2 linked regions of the Styela clava genome follow. The protein of the gene in region 1 binds, or shares a complex with, the protein of each later gene. Links are inferred from orthologs where the notes say so. Each region holds a gene or a part of one and is shown in the gene's direction. Other genes may lie near its edges. The genes, in order: UDP-N-acetylglucosamine--peptide N-acetylglucosaminyltransferase 110 kDa subunit-like and TGF-beta-activated kinase 1 and MAP3K7-binding protein 1-like.

Region 1 (12,068 bases):
TTGAATAGAGCCATATCAGTATCTGTTTTCTTCTTCCTGATCGGAACCGCCATAACATTATATCTCAAGCTGATAGAGAGAATTTACTTACTATATTCATAAGTGTTATCAGATAATCTTGAACTCTGTCATTGCCATGAAATTCGATGACGGTGTCGTCAGCTGTCAGCAGTACTTCTATGTTGTAAATTTTTTTTTTCTTTTTGACCTGACGCTTGGATCTTTTAGTTGTGTTATCGAAGATGTTTTCTTATAATAGAAAATATTTTGATCTACCCAAGTTCAGCAAATACATTTTGAGCAAGATGTTTAATTGCCATGCAGTGTTTATCAAGGCAATTGCCCAGGAAGGAAGGGCCACGAGGTAAAATTTGTGGATGATTACTTATTAGATATGCTGAAGAAATGAAAAATATAAAATTGTCAACCACCACTATACATCAGCAATGAAAATAGTGGTTTTATGAGATTCTCTGAACAAAGCTACAAATAATTATTCAGATACACAGAAACGATTTACTATATATACGTGTATCAGATTGCAATATGGACTCAAATCTTCCAAGTTTGGTTAACCCTCAGGGCGATGGGCACTGGATGGTGACTAGACTGGCATGCAATCCCGAAACCTTACAATTGCGCCATTGTCCTATCACATTTAATGAAATTTATTTCCTCACCGTCATCGAGCATTTCATATGATGGAAATTTCATATTCTCCACAGCTGGCCACAACGTTTGTTGTCTGTTTCCATTTTTACCTGGTGAAACACATAATAAATTTATATTTTTTAAATTCGTATTCGTTCGTCAATACATATATTATATTCAGATCAAAACGGGAAGTATACGCAAATAATCACAATTAGACTGCTTTCAAATTAAAATCGCAAAGTTCATAAATTTTTTGTAATATATTCTATAACACCAGTCTTAAACCGAGACATCGAGTGTGCCACCACATGCAGATAATACATGGAAAATCCACCAACCTTCCGGTTTATAAAGAAGATCACGTTTCTCATAAACAATATGTCTTTGAGGTTTGATATCAATTTCATTCTCGTCCTGACTTTGTTCTATTGGTTCGATAAAATATTCACCTTTGTCAGTTTTGATATATCCAGCCTATGAATATTTCAATAAATATAAATATAGTCAAAATCTATATATTGACACAAGCATATTCATGTAATTTTGATCATTGAAGTAGTATATGTTAATAGCCTAGGACTGTGAAACCCATGTGTCCAGCGTCAAATTCGAGATTTCTATGTTATCATACATCTCCACCAGACCCGCGATGAGTATCGAGATATTTATTGTACAAAATATAAACAAACAAATAGGCTTTTTCAAAAGCTATTTGTTAAAACGTAATAGTAACGTAATGAATAACAAATCTTTCTGAATTTCATACATTTTTTCTGTCCACCTGATAAATAAACCAATGAAACACCCATGAAAAACAGTAACCAGAAGTTCATAGCGCATTATCATATAGAAGCACTACACCACAGGTAAAACTTCGATTTCCGTTTCGAACCAGGGACAGAAAAAACTTGGAAACACACACAAATAAAAGATTATATTAATAAGTAAGTTCTCACCAATCCATCAAAACTCGTCATTGCTACTTTGCTTTTGTCAAAATATTTAACATAGCCAGCATATATTCCATGTCTTATCAAGTCTTCCTCAATGCTTGTATTCGTTAAATGTCTGACAATTTTGGCATTTGGGCCAATAAGTTGATCTTTCTGCTTCAGAACAATATGGTACGACTCTCCGAAAGCCGTGATATTATAATATATATCATTGTCTTTATTACCGGAACATGGTCCATAAGATGTTGTGTTGCAGGGCTCGTGTGCTGCGGATCGTCTCTTACGAATACTTGAAGTTTTCAAATCGTAAGATAAAAATTTCCCATCTGAGTCAACTTGAACCGGACTTGTAATGACATATGTTGAAAACAATTCAGATAGTTCCTCTGCCAATATAAGTTGATATTACTTTTAAAATCCTAAGACCTATACGCGATTTAAGAGTCTTGCTGCACACTATAAACAAAATAAATTTCTGTAACGTTTCTCCAACCTCCCAGTTTGATAAATGTTTGTCTGGGGAAGACTGACTTTGGTCAGACACAACGTTACAGAAATATATTTGTATAGTAAGCAGCAAGACTTAGGATAGTTATCTTTACTCTTGCTACAACATCCTTGCAATATGTGCATACGGATCTACCGGCACAAAATCCTAGAAGAAGGATAAGTAGTTAGTCTAGTAGAAACCCAATCGATAGCACAAGTTTACTTTTCATAAATGTACAGCAAGACGGACTAATTTTACTCAAATGTAATACATTTGAATATTTCGAATTTCGTGGCGCTCACAAGCGGCAACTTGGCAATGACGACAGCGTCCAATGGACCAACATTGAGAATTATGGTCAGATTATATCTTACAAAAACGCTGAATTCAACAAATATTAGAATTTAATAAGAATGTGTACATTGAGTAAAGTGTATTTGAAAATAATTATTTGAAACTTACTAGTGACATGTGATATAATAAAGACAATTTTAAGATCGGCGTGTATACAATACACACAAAATTCCTAAATCTATGTGGAAATAACTCAAATCTCACCTTCTGTCTTATGATGAAGAGAACAATAAATCTGAAAGTGCATATTATGGTAAATACAAGAGCATATAATGTCCAATGCAAAGAGTTTCGGCACTTTTTTCTTATGAAATCCAAGGCATATCCTTTTTACGAAAGTTAGACATTGATTTCAGAGATCAATGAATAATCAAAAAATGTTGTAAGATATTCTATATGCAAATTTACATTTCTCTCATTCCCATGCGCTAGATTTTTCCAAACTAAATGCTTTAAGAAAAATTTATAAAAACTCAAACTCGCTTCAGAATATTGAAATTATGGTTGCAAGTCAACATACTATTTCTTCGATTTTCTTTTAGTGCAATATTAGCCCATATCTCAATGCGTGTGATCTTATTTGTCAAAACGTCGACAATAAAAAAATTTACTCACCCTTGAAAAGGCAAAGGAGGCCAACAACATCAGAGCAAATCCAAACTTCATCTTGCCAAAGAAAATATGTAATAAATAAAACTAGAAATATTATTATTTGGCACGAAATGCCATTATTCTCGAACTTACATTCTTATTTAATTATCGACTGAAAAATGTCTCAGTAATTACCAAAAGTGGAAAAAATGATGAAATAGGAAATAATGGACATATTCCGAAGGGAGTAAGGGAAATCGATTTTTTTTTGCTCTGAGCAAACGTTATTTTCTGATTTAGCCAATTTCTATAACCTCGAAAGTAACTCGGATAAAGAAGCACAAAGGACGAAACACGGTCAAATCGTCTCTCTTTAATTAAGGTTAGGCTGAATATGAAAAGAGGATCCGTATATGATATCCCAAAGGCTAAACTCCCCTTATAACAATTGATCGTTTCACTATAATATATGCAATTAGACACTCGTAACTCTACCTCTTGGGAAACAAAAATTAAATATCCCACTATCCGCTCTAAGAATAAGCCGGCAATATTCCTCAATTCAATGTGATGCACTCAGTAAAATTGAAAGAAAATTAATAGAATAATTTAATTCAAACAATTATGATGTCACACATTTCTAACTGTTGCTTTGGCGTAAATTCTTATTAACCTTTTAAAACAATTAATCCCTCTGTAAAATATTATTATCGTGTCAAATTTATCTTCTTGTCAAAATATTTCCTCATCCAGATGTCAGCAATATTATTCGTTGAATAGTACTTTTTGAGCGTTTTACATAGCATTAACCTTGTTTCTCAAATATTAATCATCTTTTAAATCTCATCACAAAAGTATCGTTGTTCTGTTGACGACTGTTGTGCCACAAATACTAAAATCGCTGCAAATATTGCCTCGGGTATCACGAAAAGTTGGATGTTTTGACAAAACATCAGTTTATCAACATTTATATTATGAGATTATCATATTTAAAACATTAATGATTCAATCCAAGAAGTGTGATATAAAACAAATAAAATGTTTGAATGTTTGTTTGTTTGAAAATTAGGATATCGAAAATTGTCCGATTTAATACGCTATTGAGGGTTTACGGTGTAATAGGGCCATTGATACATGTTTGACGCAAAAAATCATTATTTGAAATTGTTGCAGTAGTTTGAAATGAACTCAAAAACTTCCCAGATTGAACAAAGTATTGAATTTTTATTTTTAAACCGATTTAAAATCAATTTGACTATACGCTGCAATCTTGTGTGTTTCCGTAATAAACCAATTTTCGTAGGATTTTTTGTAACAATGATGCATTCTTCGCATCGATGGCATCTCAGTATCTCCAGGTCTGTATAAAGAAAGACTGTATAGTTGGTATAAATCAAATCGGCCATTTGATATTCTGTTGTTTTAATTGTTTCGCTTGTAATCTGGGATCTGAACCTCTAGTATCCATTATCTCTGTAAAATGAATCATGTAATGATAGAATGAAGGTTTGGCCTATTCTTTTATTCTTTTTCGATCGGTAACAAAAAATTGTGGACAAGTAAGTCGTAAGTATCCCTTGCAAAAATAATACTAAAAAGTATGGTAAAGTGAGTGCAATCAGTAAAAAATGATAATCAGAATGTGTCACGCCTGTAGGATTGGACTTATGAGAGTACTCTACTCGTGATAATATATATATGAGCAGGTGAATATATCATGCATGGAAGTGCGCCTAAAATGAACCCTTTTGAGCGTGCAACCTGGGTTGGAAAATCTCAAGTTTACTTCTAGTCTAGTAAATACATGGATTTAATCAATATTTCTCTTAGTTTATCCTCAGTTCATGACCTATCACAAATGTCTAATAATTTCTAACCAATGTACAAATTCATAAACGTGTAGTCGCGATTGAAAAAGATGGATCATCGATCCATTCAAAACTGGAATATATATTTAAATAAACAAGATATCAATGCTCAATTATATAGATACGAGGGCGAAAACGAAGTAACATCAACTATTTTACAGTACCGGTAGTCTGACTACGAAATCGCTGAAATGCGCTTAGAGAACCACGGCACGGTGGGCAATATTTAATATCGATGATGTCATCGCACACAAAAAACGAATCCCATAGAGCCCACAGAAATTTTCGGAAATAATAAAAGTAATGCCTTTCTAGCGAATAAGACAATCCTTAACCACTGAAAATTTCAGAGCAATTAGTAGTTAATGAGTAAAGTTTTTCTTCTTCCTGAAGTATGCGCACCAAGATGGCGCACAACCTGAACCCGGTGGTGTACACTGTACAGGGTTAGGGTTCAGGTTGTGCGACATCTTGATGCGCATACTTCAGGAGTACCGCTTTTTTATAACGATGAGAGAGGGAAAATACCAACAACATATCACCAAACGAAGTATCAAGCCCTAGCTATTTCCAATTGTATTCTAGCAACATTTACTACAGTATCAACATGGCCATTTCAGAGTAATTGCTATGAAAAGTCAAAATGAAAAGTGCATTGCTAGCGTTGTATCATTTTCACTGAAAATCAATCAAAGACTTGAAATTGAAAGACTGAAGTGCAGTAGCCTACCTTTCAGTACACTATGAAATATGAAGCACGATTGCATCTCGCTGTTTCAGAATTAAAAGTCAAGGCCAATGCCACAAGTTTAGCGTTAAATTGGTGTTTATAGATGAGTTTTGGGGATGTTATTTTGAAATACATACTCAGTTTTGTTTTGTTGCTATTTTAATTCGCGTCCTTACAACTTTAAGGTTTGAAATCTGGCCCGACACTAAAAAAGGCTGAAAACCACTGGCTTAAATACGGAACGACAGCCCATACGATAAGCAAAATGGAACTAGATGCATTGACTTGATGGTAGAGAAAATCGAAACCGATCTTGGGTTACATGAACAACCCCACGACATTGTTCAACAATCTCTTACACACAATGGACCTTTCCCCGAGCATCGACTTCCTGTTTACTTCGTGACATTGGCCAATCAACAAGATGCAAAAAGTGACGTAACAATGCTCCCTTTTTGCATCCGCTCAGACACTTTTCTCACTCAGACAGATTTTCAAGCGCGGTCGTAAACATTACCTCATTATCGCGTTTTTGAACTCTATTCGTTAGTTTTCAGTTGTGTTTCGGAAACTTAAATATAAATAAGATAATTCAATGATCACCCTGTTTTCCCATGAGTTCTAATTAAATTGCAGTAATAAAAAATTAGTGTCGAAATAGCTGTGATAGACTAGGCTAAAATTCTTTACCGGTACTTTTAAAAAACAGAAAGTTGTATGCGATGAATCATAATGATGGTTTGAAACACATACCCCATTTTACAGGCGCCAACTCGCAAAAGCACTCTTAAAATAGCCCCGAAAATTTTGCAATGGCAAAGTATAAGAAGAATTTATTCGGGGGTCAAAGGTCGGGGAAAGGTCCATTATCCCACAAACTCTTCCCTAGTGACCTTAGATTTGTGTTAGGACGGATAGAATGTACCGGATCACCTATGTGATATTGTCGCTCGTACTGGCTTACACATATGTGCGTAATAGAAAATGATAACGTAGATAGCGAGTTTGATAAATTATATCAGTACAACGACTAACATACCGTATCAGTAGCACAAAATCATATCATTATTTGTGCCATACTTCCAATTTGGTGTTACCCATTCTCTCATATAGTTTGAAGAATATGTTTTTACGGTATGTTAGTCGTTGGTTTTTACGACCCATCCATGAAGATAAAAATGTCACAACAATTAATTTAAATTATTGGACATTCATTCTGATTCCAAGTCGGCAATTCTGAGTAATCATAATGAACCACCTTCTTATGAACAAGGCATAGGAATACTCTCGTTCGTCTATTTCCCTGATAAGAGACTGGACCGAAGCGGAAGTTGAAAAATAATGCCGATAAGGCATCTCGTTGTTTCAAAGCTCCCGAAACCAGACAAAGTCAGCGTGTCACGACAAATGACGTCACCCACGTATCATTGCAAGTTAACCATTGGCGTCTCGTGCGCATGAATATTTGGCGCCTCGCGCGCATGAATATAACATCACGCGACAGAGCTGGGTGGAAACTGGAAACACTTCGACGTGACTGTAAATAGTACTGCCCTTTGTTTTTATCAGAAAGGACGATTCACGCGTGTGGGCTCAATAACAACAATGTTTAATTTTGATATTTTCCTCGACTTATCGTAACTTTTACTATTGTGATTAGATTATGATGTATATAGACAAAGTTTAGCGTTAGATTATTTGTCCATATGGTTCTCCTTCATGTCTGTATGTTGTATCGTTGGTTATAAGGTTTTTGCGAGTATGAATAAATTCAAAAAATTTGCGATTTGGCGTTGGGAATTATTTTCAAGTGTTATTGGTGCAAAAACTGATATTTATATTCTGTTCATTTATATAGATTTTCTAATTAAATCAAACTATGAGTGATTTTTGTCTTGCATAGTCTGCAACACAAGATTGTTTGAAGAGTTCACATTCTGACATTGCTTAACCCTGCCAGCCTGTCATAAATTGGCACATTCAGACATTGCTGTCGACTTGAATTTCTCTTTACTACTATAATTCGTGATCCAATGTATTCACCAATGACGAAGGACGACACTAAGAAAATTATGTTAAATAATAATCATCAAGCAGCTGTTCTTGATGCCACGGGTTGGTAAACTTATAAGTTATTTTTTATTAATTGAACAGTTTCATGGGTTTGTTTTTCTGTATTTTGCTTTCCAACTACCAAGTTTCAGGAGTTTTGGTACACTTGAACAATTTCAGAATTTTGTTGTCATAAACTTCAAATAATTGTCTAAACTTTATACTGTTGTACCTTGTACTGTTGTACGATTAGTCATTCCAGTATTTCCATTATAATGTAACCGCGTGTGATATAACGTTACAGATAACTTTTTAGAAAAATATGTTTTTGCAAAAGTTTTGTCTATTCCTGTATACTGATTTCTTGATTTAGTAATTCTGTAATTTGTCGATTACGTATTGGAATTTTTTTGGAGAATGTAGTCTCCAAATAAAATTGCTGCACGAGACGGAGTTTTAAGTCATTCGGTCATAATTTTTCAAAGTTAAAGAGTGCATGGAGTGATGCTTTTACTCGGCAGCTCAATGTAAGCCAATACCTGAATACTGTAAAATGTGGGACCAGAAATAAGATTCTTTGTTCATTCATTTTTTTTATTAATACTCATCTGGGTTTCCTTAACATGGTTTCCCTATTTTAAGGTCTTGCTGAACTTGCACATCGTGAATATCAAGCAGGCGATTATGACAATGCAGAAAGGCATTGTATGCATCTTTGGCAGCAAGATCCAGATAATACTGGCGTTCTGTTACTTCTCAGTTCTATTCATTTTCAGTGTCGGAGACTTGACAAGTATAATCCAGTTCTTACAATTTTATTCTGTTATTGTTTTAAATGTACTCCTTCAAGTAAGAATGGTGACATAACAAACCAATTTTTTTCAGGTCTGCATATTTTTCAAAACATGCAATTAAAACAAACCCGATGCTTGCTGAAGCTTATTCTAATCTTGGGAATGTTTTCAAGGAAAGAGGCCAATTGCAAGAGGCCTTAGAACATTATAGGTATGATATTTGAGAAAATAACAATTTATCAAACGGTGTTTGTTTAATATATGGAATTGAACGGTGTTTGTTTAATATATGGAATTGGACATGTAATATTTGTTTTCTATTTGAATTTAGGCATGCTGTACGCTTGAAACCAGATTTCATTGATGGTTATATCAACTTAGCAGCTGCTTTGGTTACTGCTGGAGACTTGGAAGGCGCAGTTCAGGCTTATTTTTCAGCTCTACAAATAAATCCGGTAAATTGCATTCCGCAGATCATATTTTCATACTTTCCCCTTCAATAATAATAATCAACTTCAACTCATTTCAGGATCTCTATTGTGTGAGGAGTGATCTTGGTAATTTGTTGAAAGCTCTTGGACGTTTAGAAGAGGCAAAGGTATTTGCAGCATTAAATTGGCATGCTTTTTACATTCAGCAAATGCGCATTTGCGGTTCTTGGCATATTGCTATCTACACCTGAATCCTGAATCATACATGCTGGACTCGAATACTTTTGCAATTTATCGTTTCGATGATGATTTGGTCTTAACTAGTTATTTCGCTATGCATGCTTCAGGATTCAGTTTGTGTCGATAGCAACCGAGAAACGCTCGAGCACATGAAAAGTTGAATCACTTCCATGGCACATCGACACATTTCCGAAATCCAAATACTGTTTCAGACATCAAATAGAATTATTTTACATTAGCACAAATATGATTTTTTTGCACATGCTTGCTTTTTTATTAAGTCTATGTGTAAGAGTTCTAGAATAATCGACTGTGCACCCCATTATTGGGTTCGACCTGGCTCTGCGCCACCTGTTTTCTTGAAAATATTTCTGCTGTAATTCAGCTCTATATTTTAATAGAAGTTGAACTAGACAGGAAAAATATAATAATTTTTGTAATCAATCAAGCCATTATTTTCAAATAAGTCATAGCCCTCTGCCATTCAATTCTGAAACCAAGTAATTCAACAAGAAAGTCATGTTTGTGCTCTTGTTATTTCATAGTATGTTTAGCCTTGCTTCGAAATATTTTGCTCCCTCTGATGTTCACAATGGTCAGTGTTGTTTTCCATCCGTGCTACATGTTATAGACAGGTATAGCAGCAGCAGATTCATTTCTCTTCATCTCATAAAACAACACTGAAGATTGTGAACATAGCAGTGTACTGAAATGTGCAATTTTCAAATCTATTTTTAACGACTTTTCAAAAAGTGACACTGTATTATTTATTTTTTGTTTAAAATTGGATTACTCAGCTCTGTTGAGGATGAGGTAATTTTTGTATTCCTATAAACCGGAGCGAAATATTATTTGGGCATGGCTTTTGCACTTAGTCGGCGAATTCGGCATTGAAATGAAGGTACATTGACCCACATGGCTGTCAGTGGACATATTTTGCTACCCATTTGAAATGTATTTCAACTACTCAATATCCAATCCATCCCGATATCTTACACTGACAGTCAAGCGCTCGTGGGTTGTAAGCTGACGCAGCAGTTGTTATTGGAAAGACATCTTCCTGGGATTAACTTGTGCATTTGGACATGTCTGTATCTTGAAAACTTGAAAACCCCAGATAGTTTTTTTTCCAGTAAATGCAACTCTCAGCTGTCACGTTCATTTGCTAAATTGCGTCTTTATAAATATATTCTGATCTTAGAATTTGGTGTTTGAAACAAAATTCTTGGATCAGTAGCGGAATTGTATCTCAAATTATTTTATCAATTGGCTCGAAACTAAATTCTATGTGCAATTTGGTATTATTAACATGATGTGCCATGGTAAGATATTGTATGTGCTCATTTTTTAATTAAAAAGCTTCTCTAGAAGGACAAAATCTACCTGATACAGGATGGTTACTCAGCATATATTTACATCTGTGGTATGAATTAAAGTTAGCAATGGTAAGGCATATGCCAAGTATTGCATATTTTAATTAAAACCTCAAACTTTGTTTGGCTTTAGTTTCAAAAGTAATTGTTTCTCTCTAATCTGACGTTAATGTTGTTTTTCTTCAAATTTGACATTATTGTTACCAAAGGATTCTAGTTCAAATTCTTAGACATATCTAAAAACAAGAATAAATAAAAAAATGTTTTTTGTCAATGACATAATTACAATTACTGATCAAATGTAACTTCCAAGTACCAGTATTTATTTAAGACATCTTACAATATTTTAATCTTGTTATTTTATTCTTTATCTCTCTGTCATATTTATCAAGTCAATTTAAGAAAGATTGCACAGAGCTCGTCAGCATTCAACAGAGCAGGACATGAATATCACCATGCCAGATGACTTCTTCGTATCTCTAATAAATATCTCAGGCACCCAAGGCTACTTATTGTTATGTAAGCGCCGACAAAATGCGGCAACGGTATGGTATATACCAAGTTGGTCCAAGTATATAAATATGGATCTTTTATTTTTATATGTATTGTATTACTGTGCATTGTCTTGTATTTTTTGCTATGTGCGCCGCGCTTTGCGAATTCTATGTTCAAATCTTGCTGCATCATTTTCCACTCACAATTGCTTGACTTTAAATTTCTGCCAAAATTTTTGGTAGATCTATTTGACACAACTTGCAAAAAGTATTCTTGCAAATGTGAGACTCTATGCGGATGAAGCGAAGTAGAAGCTAATGTAACCATTTATTTCATCAGAGAAAATTCGGCATCTTTGGCTTCATTTCCGGATTCTGCTGCTGCTGCTCTGTGCGATATCAAAACTCCTTTTTTTCTTATCCTAATTTGTCTTTTATTCTCGCGTTTAGACATGCTATCTGAAAGCTATAGAAACACAACCAAATTTCGCAGTTGCTTGGAGCAACCTTGGCTGCGTCTTCAACAGTCAAGGAGAAATATGGCTTGCAATTCATCATTTTGAAAAGGTATTTTTCTTGTTTTTGTATATTTATGTATAAACATTATTTTATTGTACAATGGGGTATTGATTCAGTTTTTTATCATGGATTTCAGGCTGTGACGTTGGATCCAAACTTTCTTGATGCATATATCAACTTAGGAAATGTACTGAAAGAGGCAAGAATCTTTGATAGGTAATCATTGTAACATTCTATTTATTACTTAAATTAAAATCTATATTCCTTAAATTTTTTCATGTACAATTTTCATTGTAGAGCTGTTGCTGCTTATCTGCGTGCATTGAATCTATCACCAAACCATGCAGTTGTTCATGGAAATCTTGCGTGTGTGTATTATGAACAAGGGCTGATCGATCTAGCGATTGACACATACAGAAGAGCGATTGAACTTCAACCGCACTTTCCTGATGCATACTGCAATTTGGCCAACGCCCTCAAAGAAAAAGGTAAAATTGCTATTCCGGTTAAATGTATTGTGTTATA
Region 2 (12,186 bases), on another chromosome or scaffold:
TCACGAAAGCGGACCAGAAGCCTATTGATTTTGGGCGAATTATGTCGTATAATTAGAGAGTTATTAATTATTTAGTGATGGGAAACAAGGTGTCACTATGGAGTAAGAGCGCTGTTTTGGGGGATCCCCTAACTTTCGATCGAGAAGTCTTCGGTCTCTGACCGATATTCTCGTTTGTACCTTTGCGGCTGCAAAATTGCATTTTTTGCTGTGATGGAAATTGAAAACAAAACCGAGGACAACTTCTTAGAATTGACGTACCGTCGTTGAAACATGTAACATTAATTTTGTCAAATGTAATAATATTTAAAACTTTTATTGGTGATAAATGCGCTGCCACGTTGTGGAACCACTACTCTAGCCGCTAGGCTACGGTCATCTTTATATGATGCCAGGAAAGTAAAATATCCCTAAATTATTTACAAACAAATTTATAACATTATTACCTGGCGTTGATGGATCAAGCTCAACTCCGGAACCTAAAATTAAAAGTTACCGATAAGTAACGTTTGACGTGACCTGGTCAGAAAAACAGGCCTAGAGATGCACGGAGTAGCTCTTTAGAAGTCTGATGTGAAGCTCTTTAAGATTGGATTTAAAGATTTATGCCGGAGAATAACTCGTTGGCTTGAACCTTGCATTGTATAAAGAAGATTGCATTAGCATCTCTGTTGCAAAGTAAGTTTATGTGCAGACGGTGGTCTTGATCAAAAATTCCATAGTCGTTAAATATTTCAACTGATTATTGAACAATGCAATGAAACTATAAAATACTCACTCGTGACAAATGTTGATGAACCCCCTGAAATATATTTGATAAATTGAAAAACGGCAAAATAAAACCAAAAGTGTAATACCACTAATAGGAAATTTCGCACTCGAGGCGCATACATGATCATAAGCTAAAATTGTGCTTTCTCCGTGCCTAAATGTCTGTTTTTTTGCGCTAAAAATCCAGTCAAATGGGTAACAGGATGTCGAAGTCGTTTTTTAATCGATGTTATTCAGATTGAACTACTTTTTCTCTGCAAATATAGTATCCAGAATTGGCCTTGAACTTCGCAACGTTCAGCAAGATTCTGCAAATACAGTGACGTGCTGAATAGATAACTTATTGGGGAAAGCTGTTGTTTTAACAATTTCATGTTTTTTCTATCGATCCTGTTTTTTTACCATTTGTCCAGAGATTCATTAAGAAGGAAGGTATGGAACATCCAAGAGCGTAGCCAGCCCACAATTTGAATTTTGGGGGCAATTTTGTTTTGTATAACGACGTTATTAGACGCTTACTCGTGTCTTTTGCTTGGAATGTTGTGTCCCTGACACTGACTAATGAACTATACAAGCATCCAGCTTGATAGAAACATCAAGTTTAATGAAACATCAGTTTAATGAAAACAAACAATAACACCGCTTAGCAAGCAAACTTAGAACAGCGTACCAATCCACTAATATTTCGTTTCGTTCATTAGGGGGAAGGATTAATGTACAGTTATCCTGGAAACATCCGGTTTTCAGCAAATTGTTAGGGAATAGAGCAAAATGGTGTTAAAAAATGGTGTCTTACTGCAAACGCTGCAGAAATGCAGTTCAAGTAAAATGTGAATTTTTTTTTAAGCGGGGGGACATAGCCAATGGGGATATCCCGTAAAATACCTGATCATTGTATTGAATTAAAGTCAAACCTCCCGATCCTTCGCTTTGCATGGCTTCAACTAATCTTGTCATTTCGCTGAAGAAGTCTTTCATAGACTTATAATTTGCGTCTAGATAGTTGTATCTGGCTTCGGGCGAGTCAGGTACTGTTGGAGACAGGTAATTACCATCGAAAATGTCCAAACTGTCTTCGCATCTGGCAAGTGTGAAAACGACCCATAAGAATGCTATTTTGAAACAATACATTGCTTCAGTTGTCGCACGTTGACTAATCTTTACTTAATCTAAATATTTAATCGAAAAAAAAAATTCAGTTGAGGCACTCAAGAACATGAATAATATTTTTTTCTGAGCTTCTGCAACTCTTCTTTGCTATCTTTTAATAAATTTCATTCAATTATCTTTTGCAGCGGTTCCCAAAACGCGGCTCGCGGGCCAATTACGACCCGCCGTTTCGGGCGAAACGTTACAGAAATATATTTGTGTTAGTGTGCAGCAAGACTCTTGAATCACTTAACAAAAATCGTATTGTAAAAATTTGATCTATAAATATCAATACCAGTGGTTCTAAAAAGTTTTAGGCCGCGCTTCCCTTTTTAGAATTTGTCAAGTCTCGCGCGTGCCCCCAAAGTGACTAGCTAACAATAAGCTACAAATAACAGATAGCAAGGCGAATGTTTTATTCGAAAAACAGGTTGAACATACGTGAATGGAACGTTAATATCCATAATAATAAAATGTGAATATCAAACAAATATTTTTTAGTTAGCTTCCCGCCCACCAAAAAATTGTCTACGTCTTACTTGCGGGCGCGCCCCGTTTGAGAACTAGTTGTCTATACGCCTTCTTTCAATTAATAACTTCACGGACTAGCACTCTGTCAAATATCATGAGTATGAATAGCAGTAGTCCCAAATAGTATTAAAATTTTAAAATTTTACAACAAATCATTTATCTTTTACCACTTGGCGAATAAGTCCTCGCTAAACTGAAAATTCTTGGATATCTTCGTAGTTATTTCGCAAAAGTATTAACCATATTGAAGTATACGCAATGTTACTACGCTGTTCGGTATTATAATATATCATAACCACCACCGCACAATGTGCGGTGAGATAGCACTGAAACAAAGTAGGGCCTACAGCCAGTCGCAACAACAATACAAACAACAATATGTTCAACACACGTAAGATTACTACGTTATTCAATAAAATTGTTTTAGCATATGGGCAAACATACATCCAAAGAATAGCTGTATGGAGCCTATTGTATGGAGATGTACTATTACCACTGGTAATTCAAGTAAAAAATTATTTTCCAATATTTTATTTGTTGGTTTGTGTGAGGCTGACACACATGGCAGGCACCCTTTCCTCCTCGCATCTCTCCCCGAATCAAGTAAGTTTCAACCAGTACAAAACAAATTGTGTACAAATAACCAGAAAATAGCACTTACAGTTTTAGTGGGGAAGAAAAGCCGCAGGAAACCCAAAACATGTTGACTAAGCAGCGATATTCAAGGTGCGAATGCTTTTAAAATTGCTGAGTTATGGAGTATGAAAAAACATTGGTGTTCAGTAATACTATTTCTATAATTAAATTACCCGATCTTTTTAACTAGATATTAGAAGCTTACGTGTCGCTGCTCGATAACTAGAATTAGTTTTCCGTCTGGAATTAAATAAGTAAGTAAGTTTCGGTATTGTTGTGAGAAACACTTCAAACGGTTGTTCTCGGCTGGCGTTCGTTATTCGAAACTTCTTGCTTAAAAGAAGCGATGAGATTGGACGGAAATTTGAAGTTTCAATTTTTCTTCGACTGCTCTGGGGCTTCGTTGTTTTTCTCACCTTATATATATATAATTTATATTTTTTATTCACCCCACGCTTGCTTGCTACGCACGTCGTTTCTTCTTTTCATCGTCACATTCTAAAAACACATTTCAGGTGTTCTCATAATGTCTTCAGGCAGCGACACCTGAATTGTATTATATTTTTTGCATAATATTTTCTTGCTTGCACTCCGGCAGCACGATTGTACCATTTCGTGACCAACTTTCCTTCTGGTCCTTTGCCTGCTGGTCGGGCCTATTTCCTCTCTCCTCGACCAGTCTGCTGGTAGCGTCCCTTGCTCGGCGCTCCTCTCTTGTGCGGATCAGCCTGCCTGCCATTTCTTTTCTCGGCCGCCTTTCCTCTCGTCTTGTCTGCTGAGCATATCCTGGTGGCTGGGTCTGCTGCCCTTTCTTTCCTCGGTGCACGTGCTGGTCCTCTACTGCAGCTCGGTCTGCCTTTTCTTTTCTTGACGACCTGCCTGTCTTGTCTGGCGGTGCTATCCTGCGGCTTTGTCTGCTATCTCCTTCATCGACGGGCCCGCTGGTTCTTCCTCCCTATCCTGCGGCTGGGTATGCTATCTCTTTGCTCTGCGCATCTGCTGGTCTCCTCTTCTACGGCTCACAGCCCGTCTGTCCTTTCTTTTCTCGACCACCTGGCTAACCTGTCTGCTGGCCCTCTGCTACAACTCGATCCACCCCGTGAGTTTCGAACCTGCGCTCGTGCCTGACCTGATGTTTGACAACGTCTCTGCGTTTCTCCTGCGCCACCGTCACTTACAAGGACCGAGCTGGCCAGAAACTTGGTTATTTAACAACGTCACGCTTAGCAGCCCACGACAAAACTAATTACCCCGAAATAATTATTACTTTAAACATACTGCGTTGATTCGAAGCAGGTGTATTCACGTTTTAATGTATGCTAAGTCGTTCAACTGGGACTATAGTGTGCGCTCCTGTAACTCTTAAATGTGCGGATTTGGAAAATAATATGATATCCTGTTTCTAATCGTGGTTCAGTTTAGTTCTTTTTATAAAAAAAAGGAACAGTAATTCTGCAATCATTGTCGATAATGTGCGTTAGATAATTAAAAGAGCGAATCCGTAAACCCCAATTCTGACTGTCAGTAAAGGAATACAAAGACTGGAAGACGATTCATCGATTTGATCATTTTTTACCTCTTGTGCTAACTGACCGCCCTATATCTGGTTTACTGTTTCTAAATTTAATAAACATCTCACGAAAAATCTTGAAATTGGCGCGGCGTTATGTTCTTTTACAGAATAAAACGATATTATACAAACTGGTAATAAAACGAAAAACCCGACAAGTTTTGCCCAGTGACAGGTAAAACATGCCATCCCGCCTAATGCACTAAAAATGAAACGCAGTAAATTGCGCGTGCGATGTACCTTTCTATTCGCTCAGTATCTGCGTCAAAGCCACACGCCATATTTTTCCGGATTATGATGAAATATAATCTAATCAATGTAAAGTAGCCTATGGTCGATCAGTTTCTAATATACTAAAATAAATGCATAACCGTAGGATTTTATAGCAGATCTTCTTCATTTCTATATTTCCCTGTGAAGGTTCATATCCGAATATCTACCTTCATATTCATTTACGTCGTGGAAAACTAATAAACAATATGAAATAAATAAAATGCATGAAACAAATTACAGAAACAGATATCGGCTTGTTGCAGTGGACGAGGTGTCGCGAAAAACTCATCAGTCCACAAGTCAACCAGTCAACGACACTTTGAAGCAGCAAATATAGCAACGGAAGAACCCAATATTAAACATTTACCTAATTAGACACAATAATATGATTAATAACAATAAAAAGAATAAGAAATAAACTACAGATGCCACAATGACTATGGAATATTACCTAAATGCTTACTTAGTAATTAGACACAATCATACAAAAAGAACAACAAAAATTCAAATTAAACTTCGAAATGCCACAACACCTATCTGTTTTGAGCATTAGCATGATTGATTAGTTTGATATTTTTTGCAGGGGGGGGGGGGGAGCCTAATTCCTTATCTGGTGTACCACGGCCCCCCGTCAGATTACGACCAGTTTATGCAGGGTAGGAGATCAGTTAGCCAGATATTTGTTCCAGTTGCATGGGCTTGTTTGGGATTTTCTTGGTCGAATAAGCCTAATCGTTTCTTAACTCTCATTTGGAATTATCAAAAATAAAATTTTTAGGTACAAAAATTTACAAATGTTTTTTTTTTATGTAGATTACGCAAGTCGTTATTTTAAATCCGGTTTTGACTGAGTATAAAATTTAGAAATATTAAATAAAAAATAATTATTAGATTCTTGGTTGTTATTATTCATATTATTGGTAAACTGTTATTTATGTTATGCAATTAATTTTTCATTTCAAGTCTCAAGTATATTTTATGTCTGTCCCATTTGTGTTATGTAAATACGGCTATAGACTCCGGTCATCGAGAACATTGTTTTTGCACTTGTTTTGCCGTCGAACGGGCCGCCCTTTAATGCTCAGCTGATTCCCAGATTAGGTGCTAACGTTTACTTATGTCTGTATTTGAAAAAAAATTTATTGTGAATTAACATAAAATATATAGTGCACTAGTGCAGTACCGATAGTCCTAGATAAGGATACGAGAGAGAGAGAAATTTATTTTTCGTAAACCAGAAAAAAAATACGGAAATAGCAAACAATAAAAAGTTATTCAGTATAGACTGCTACCGGTACTAGACTAGACTACGAGCTACTGAACTGCGACGTTTTTTGATCCACTATGGCTTCTATTTCTGTATTTATAAAATTAGGCCTCTATCTGTCTATAGCCTGTACAGCTGTACGGTTCTCCAATTTCAAGAATGGTCCCCACATTGAAATACATAAATTAGGATAAAACGGTGAGTGCAAACCTCTGGTTTACGAGACAGTTTGGGCCCCATAAATAGGCATATTTCAGTAATTTGGCAAACCAGTTCTGCGCAATAAACTAAAAGAAAGCACAATCTAAAACCTCACCATAGGATTCCTCATAAAAAAATGTATTGATGAAAAATTTTTTACAGTAGCATATAAATATATTTTGGTTTTCTCGTAAAAAATATCATACACAAAAACCAAACAATGAATGCACAGAAGATTAGGAAAATTGGGGGAACTGGCAAAACCTCTATAAAGGTTTAATGCAAGTAAATATACATGCAAACATGCTGCATAAATATGCACACGAGCGTTTTCAGCAAAATGAACACAATTTTGGTCTTGTGACGGCCACGTTCAATTTAGATCATTATCGAGACGAGCATGGTGCAATCTGACGCATCCGCCATCATGCCAGACTCACTCGTTTCAGGATCAAATAGAGTATTTGTTTAATTGAACAAATAGTCTGGCAATCTTGGAATCGAAGAACTGTGTCCTTCTGATTGCCAATGATGTTTTCGTTATAACCATTGCTATGAAACATTCAGACATTAGCCAAAATACAGCAGTGAGACGTAAAGTTTTCAAACTTATTATAAAACTGTGAACTATGAATTATACAAATTTAATTTGAACTTTTCAAATTAATGTTGAAAAGTAAATATTAAAAACATTCATAAGCCACCATTTTTGGCAGCGCCAGATCCAACTATTAGGAGGAGCTGCATTAAACACAGTGACCCTGCGGCTCCAGCTCTGGGTAAATATCTCTTTATCATCTCAATTTGAAGGGGCACTACATATTGACGCATCGTGCTAATCTTCAGGAATATGCTGACCACCGCATCTCTGGTTATCCTGATTGGGTTTGCAGGTTCAAATCTCATGCAGGGTTAATTATGTGCGAGAGGATTGCTGGACTCCACATCCAGTACAGCACACTATCCAAATTCCAAGAATTTGCCTCAATAAAACAAACACTCCATGTGTCTCATAAACGAGGGGCGTCTGGGACCACGACAGATGCTTCATATTGCGCCATGCTTGTCTCAATAATAATCTAAATTAATCGCGGCCGTCACATGACCAAAATTGTTGTTTTTTGCTAAAAACTCTCGAATGCTACGAAAAAAAATTTTTCTTTGGTAAATCAGATTATTTTTTCTCAAGGAATTCAATGATGACGATACTAGATTGCGCTTTTTTGTAGTATTTTGCGCAACTTCATCATACTGTATTATTACTAATATTGAGGGACAACAATGTCCAGATGTCTCCCGAAGGAGGGGTCTGATCATCTAAAAGTAGGGTTTTTCTGAAACGGGACAATGTCACCCGATTTGTATAGTGTGCCGTACTGACATTGCCGGAGGGTGGTTCCATAACCCCTCTCCACGATCAATTACATGCTTCCGAAATAAAATAACTGGCTAACCAATCCCATACCTGACATGGACAGGTAGCCCGACGAGAGACTGTGGGTTGCCATATTATTAAACTTTTTATAGGGTGTGCTCGTCCCTATGATAAATATGTAAATCCTACCCATATTATAGACTACTAGACCAGTAAATAAATCAACTTCCGAAGTTGGAATAAATTTTTAAAATAGGAACACTCTTTATTTTGCGATTACAGTTAAAATCTAAAAGATGGCGACTGCTGCGCCTTTACGGCCTCCACAGGGAAGTACACATTCGTCCACGAGTTCGTCATCGCCCAGCGTTCATCGTAGAATGCTTAATCGATCTGGTGTTAGTTGGACGGATGATTTACCAGTCTGTAATTTGTCGGATATTGGAATAGCTCCGAACGTTGTCTATCTTCAGGATGGTAAAACAATGGAAGCTCATCAGTATGCCGACTTTTCTTTCAATTTCAGGTTGGTAAAGATGTTTAAAATGAGTGCAGCAAGTCTCATGAATTGAATAGAATAGCCATTTACACTCTTGCTACAGCATCCTAACGTAATACACATACGGATCCACCTGCGCAAAGGCATAGAGAGCAAGGAAAGGTAGTTAGTTTCACGCAACCTCAACTGTTAGTAAAATTTGTACGTTGTTGTTTTGTTCTGTAAAGCTTTTTTGAATAGAAATATCAAATTTTTATAATTCAAATTGATTTTATTCAAAAATTATTATTTCAATCAGTGGTTATATGACAGTCAAAAAAATGCAGTCATTCTATATTCAAATATGTAAATCATTTGAGATATTTTGTACTCTGTCTGTCTGGTGCAAGATTTCAGGAGTGAAGTTGAATGTTTTATTAAAATCGAAATAATTTTGAAATGCCAAATCCAACTATCTTTGCATTGGTTGGTTCTTCAATAGCTTTGTTTGCTAGTTGACCATGTAGTGATGACTCATGTTTATTGAAGTCCTTGTCATTGTTATATTTAGCAGATTCAATGAATTTATTGTTTATTGGATGACGCATATTTCAGCATTTTTATGTTGAACCAGTTATGTGTGACCAATGGCCGAGATGTATCATGATTATGAATATAGATAGTTCTATATGGGTTCTTTAGTAATACAGGCAGTTATAATCATTACTTATTGATCTTTAGATCGGTAAGTATGTTGATAGGTATTTGTCTGTCTGTCTGTCTGTCTGTTACATGCATGCAATATCTCAAGAAGGTGTGGTTGAATCTGCTCCAAATTTTGCATGTGCATTCATCATATCTCGGACCAGAAGCCTATTGATTATGAATGAATTCTGTCGTATAATTAGCGAGTTATCAATTAATTAGTGATGGGACACGCAGTATCACTATAGAGTCATGAATCGAATCCGCAGTTTCGATCGATAAGTCTTCGGTCTCCGACCGATATTCTCATTTAAATATTTGTCACAAAATTTTTCAAAACCTATAATCTACTACGGTAATTTAGTAGTGGGCAAGGTTTTCGGACCAGGGCATCATAATGAGAGTGACATGGAAGTTACATTTCATGAACAATATTTACAGTGTTTCAAAACTGAAAGTGGAAAACTTAATTTTATCGCTATCTCAACAAATTCCTTGAGCTAAAACATCAAAATTTGGTTTTGGCAGCGTCAGGCGGGCCAAATCGAATTACCCAGTCGGCCGGATTTAGCCCATGGGCCAAAGTTTGCCTATATGTCAGATCTATTTTATTGCCAATTAGCGACTTTTTCGACATACTGGACATGGGTTCTTTTCCAGATTTTTCAACTGGCCGTGTTCATCATTCTAAATATCTGAATATTCTCATCATGGTTCTATAGTCTGAAGTAATTCTGCCATGCTGTACATTCAAATTAATATTTCAATAGGTTTACATTTTGTTGTACATTATTCATGGTAAAAGTCACTTAGTAACTTTTGAAATTTATTCCAGATTCTCTTTGATTTTGACACAGAAAGACATTTAATTGGGGCCTCCAGCGGGTTCCCTTACTTTTTCTATTCATAGTTTTTGCGCATTTCACTCTGTATAAGGAGTTACTAGATTTTGGGAAGAAAATAATTTTATTTGGTTTGGCATTTCTTATCTAATTTATTACACCTTGGGTGGCCGTAGCTGCATGGGATTGTCTGATGTTATTACTTATCGATTTTAATCGCTAAGTATGATGATTGGTATTTGTCTGTATGTATGTCTGTTAGATGCACGCGATAAAGCGAGATTGAATCTGCTCCAGATTTTGCATTTGCATTCATCATATCTCGGACCAGAAGCCTAGATTTTAATGAAAATTTGAGCTTCTTTCACTGGACTTTTGAGTTTGGTCATGTGGTGGTATCAATAAGCTTGTACATTTTCTATAGCATAAGCATAGAGCGATGCTTATGGGCCTGTTTTACAGTAAGCCATGGTACAAACTACAAACTGCTAAATTTAACATGGTTTGTCTAATCTTAGATGATTTGTACATCCATCCTCTACCATACCTCAGCGACCCCACCGACTCCATGACCTGTTTGCAACCCTACCTAATTATCACTCCGACCCAATTTGGGGTCGCGACCCCTGGTTTGGGAACCCCTGTATTAGACTCTCAGTGAGGGGATAAGAATGATTGATAAACTTAGGACAGGATTTACATATTTCACCTGTGAGAAAGGAAAGTTGATAAGACGGCTCAATCATATGATTGACCTTCGATTCGACCTATGGTGAATAAAAAAAAAACAAGAAGAAAGCCGATAGGACAGCTTAATCATATGGCGAACCACGGCCTCTTATCCGGTTACCGTTCCATGTCGGGTATGGGATTAGTTAGCCAGGTGTTTGTTTCCGGAAGCATGGACCTGATAGGGGAGGAAGGTGTAACCGATCAGCAGTTACGTGAACCAACCTACGGTGGCGAGGAGTGTAGAAATCCATGGGATTTGAACCTGCGAACACGCAGGGCTGTGGCGAGCATATTTCTAGCTCTTAGCATGTTGCGCCACACCATTTAACCTGATATGTCATTATAGTTAATCCGGACGCTTTAGCCATCTCGCTTAGTAATGAAATATGTTACAGTTTATTTGTCTACATTGCAAACATTTCTAGTTGCAATCACTCATAATTTAGTCCTGTCTCATATTAGATCAAGTTGTATTTCAATAACTAGAGAGTAGTGTTTACCGATGTGCTCAGAAACAAAGTTTTCAGTCTATAGGTGACTCATTTTTATGCACATGAATTTCAAAATTTTTTTTGTATGTGGACTTTGAACGGGCTATTCCAAGTGACACTACAAGACAATTCCAGAAATTTTTCATGTTGTTAGATGCAATATATTTTTACATTTTCAGCTACATGTTTTGTTTTATTGTCCAATCAGTTGCTTTATTGAATATGTAAAAAAAAAATTGCACAAAAGTTAAAACCAAGACATACTTAGTGGATATAAAAAATAACGTAAAATATAGTGTGACAACACAGGACAGCAAATCCACCTTGCACTAACAGTACTTATGCTGTAATTTTTTGCGATGGTACAGCAGGAGCCCATAATATTTTCTGGTGCAGTAGCTGAAGGAGCTCTATGTGTAGCTCAATTCACCTAATGTAACAGTGTAAATCCATGCCAATAATTTGCATTTTGTATGTGACACTACAGGACGATACACCACAAGACATTTTTCCACTTCGGAACAGCGGCCTCTATCATCTCTCAAAATTCTGGTAATAAATTGTTAAATAGGCGAAGAAATTTCCTACAGCACTGCAAACATTTAAACTTTATTAACTTAAATTCAGTGAGTCCATTTCATATGAAAAAAATTTATCACACAATCAAACACTTTGTGTCACGAATCATCACAAAATATGCCAATTATACCACAATTTCTACATTTTAGGCCATTTTTTAAAAACCATCAAAAACCTAGGTGAAATTTCAACTTTTTCGATGAAAGGGATGCAGTCCAATAAAATTCCAATGTCATTTAATATAAAAAATACAAAAAAATTACTTTCACTACACTTTTAAAAAAATTGATGGAATTCAACTTTTGCTTGGAATGGCCTGAACATGCTGTTATATAAATTTGAACCAATGCACTTACATAAAAGTGTTTTTATTCTGATGGTTATTAAAACCCTTAATGATAGTTACAGAAATCAATATAGTGTTTTTAGCAATGACTTGGAAGTGTTGTGTATGAATATGATTTAATAAATCTTTACCCAGAATATGTGCTTCATAATTAGAAGTTCCAAAAGTAAATTTTTGACATTGGTTTTTACATTGGTCCTCGCGGCATAGCTAGACATGGTTGATTGAACTTAAACATTT

What was found.
Region 2: the proteins of UDP-N-acetylglucosamine--peptide N-acetylglucosaminyltransferase 110 kDa subunit-like (region 1) and TGF-beta-activated kinase 1 and MAP3K7-binding protein 1-like are in contact, whole or in part, in a crystal structure (PDB 4AY6), measured with the Homo sapiens proteins. The link is inferred for Styela clava from reciprocal best matches to the Homo sapiens genes OGT and TAB1. Residues at the interface, in NP_858058.1 of Homo sapiens: Asp441, His506, His508, His509, Asn567, His568, Pro569, Gly641, Tyr642, Thr643, Lys644, Ala646, Gln849, Phe878, Pro904, Val905, Ala906, Pro907; in NP_006107.1 of Homo sapiens: Pro389, Val390, Val392, Pro393, Tyr394, Ser396, Ala397, Gln398, Ser399.

What each region holds. Positions count from the first base shown.
Region 1 is NC_135258.1:11,141,869-11,153,936, forward strand, and holds the start of UDP-N-acetylglucosamine--peptide N-acetylglucosaminyltransferase 110 kDa subunit-like, read left to right. Parts: upstream 1-7,497; 5' UTR 7,498-7,673; coding exon 7,674-7,755; intron 7,756-8,334; coding exon 8,335-8,485; intron 8,486-8,577; coding exon 8,578-8,697; intron 8,698-8,817; coding exon 8,818-8,941; intron 8,942-9,015; coding exon 9,016-9,084; intron 9,085-9,170; exon of another isoform or gene 9,171-10,973; coding exon of another isoform or gene 10,974-11,075; intron 11,076-11,474; coding exon 11,475-11,591; intron 11,592-11,679; coding exon 11,680-11,759; intron 11,760-11,840; coding exon 11,841-12,031; intron 12,032-12,068. Other genes in the region: A disintegrin and metalloproteinase with thrombospondin motifs 3-like, read right to left, coding at 92-249, 681-761, 993-1,128, 1,611-1,993, 2,656-2,686, 3,067-3,117. UniProt on the Homo sapiens protein: Catalyzes the transfer of a single N-acetylglucosamine from UDP-GlcNAc to a serine or threonine residue in cytoplasmic and nuclear proteins resulting in their modification with a beta-linked N-acetylglucosamine (O-GlcNAc).
Region 2 is NC_135253.1:22,516,604-22,528,789, reverse strand, and holds the start of TGF-beta-activated kinase 1 and MAP3K7-binding protein 1-like, read left to right. Parts: upstream 1-6,376; 5' UTR 6,377-6,395; intron 6,396-8,055; 5' UTR 8,056-8,069; coding exon 8,070-8,299; intron 8,300-12,186. Other genes in the region: uncharacterized protein LOC144421899, read right to left, coding at 447-479, 779-802, 1,686-1,902. UniProt on the Homo sapiens protein: Key adapter protein that plays an essential role in JNK and NF-kappa-B activation and proinflammatory cytokines production in response to stimulation with TLRs and cytokines.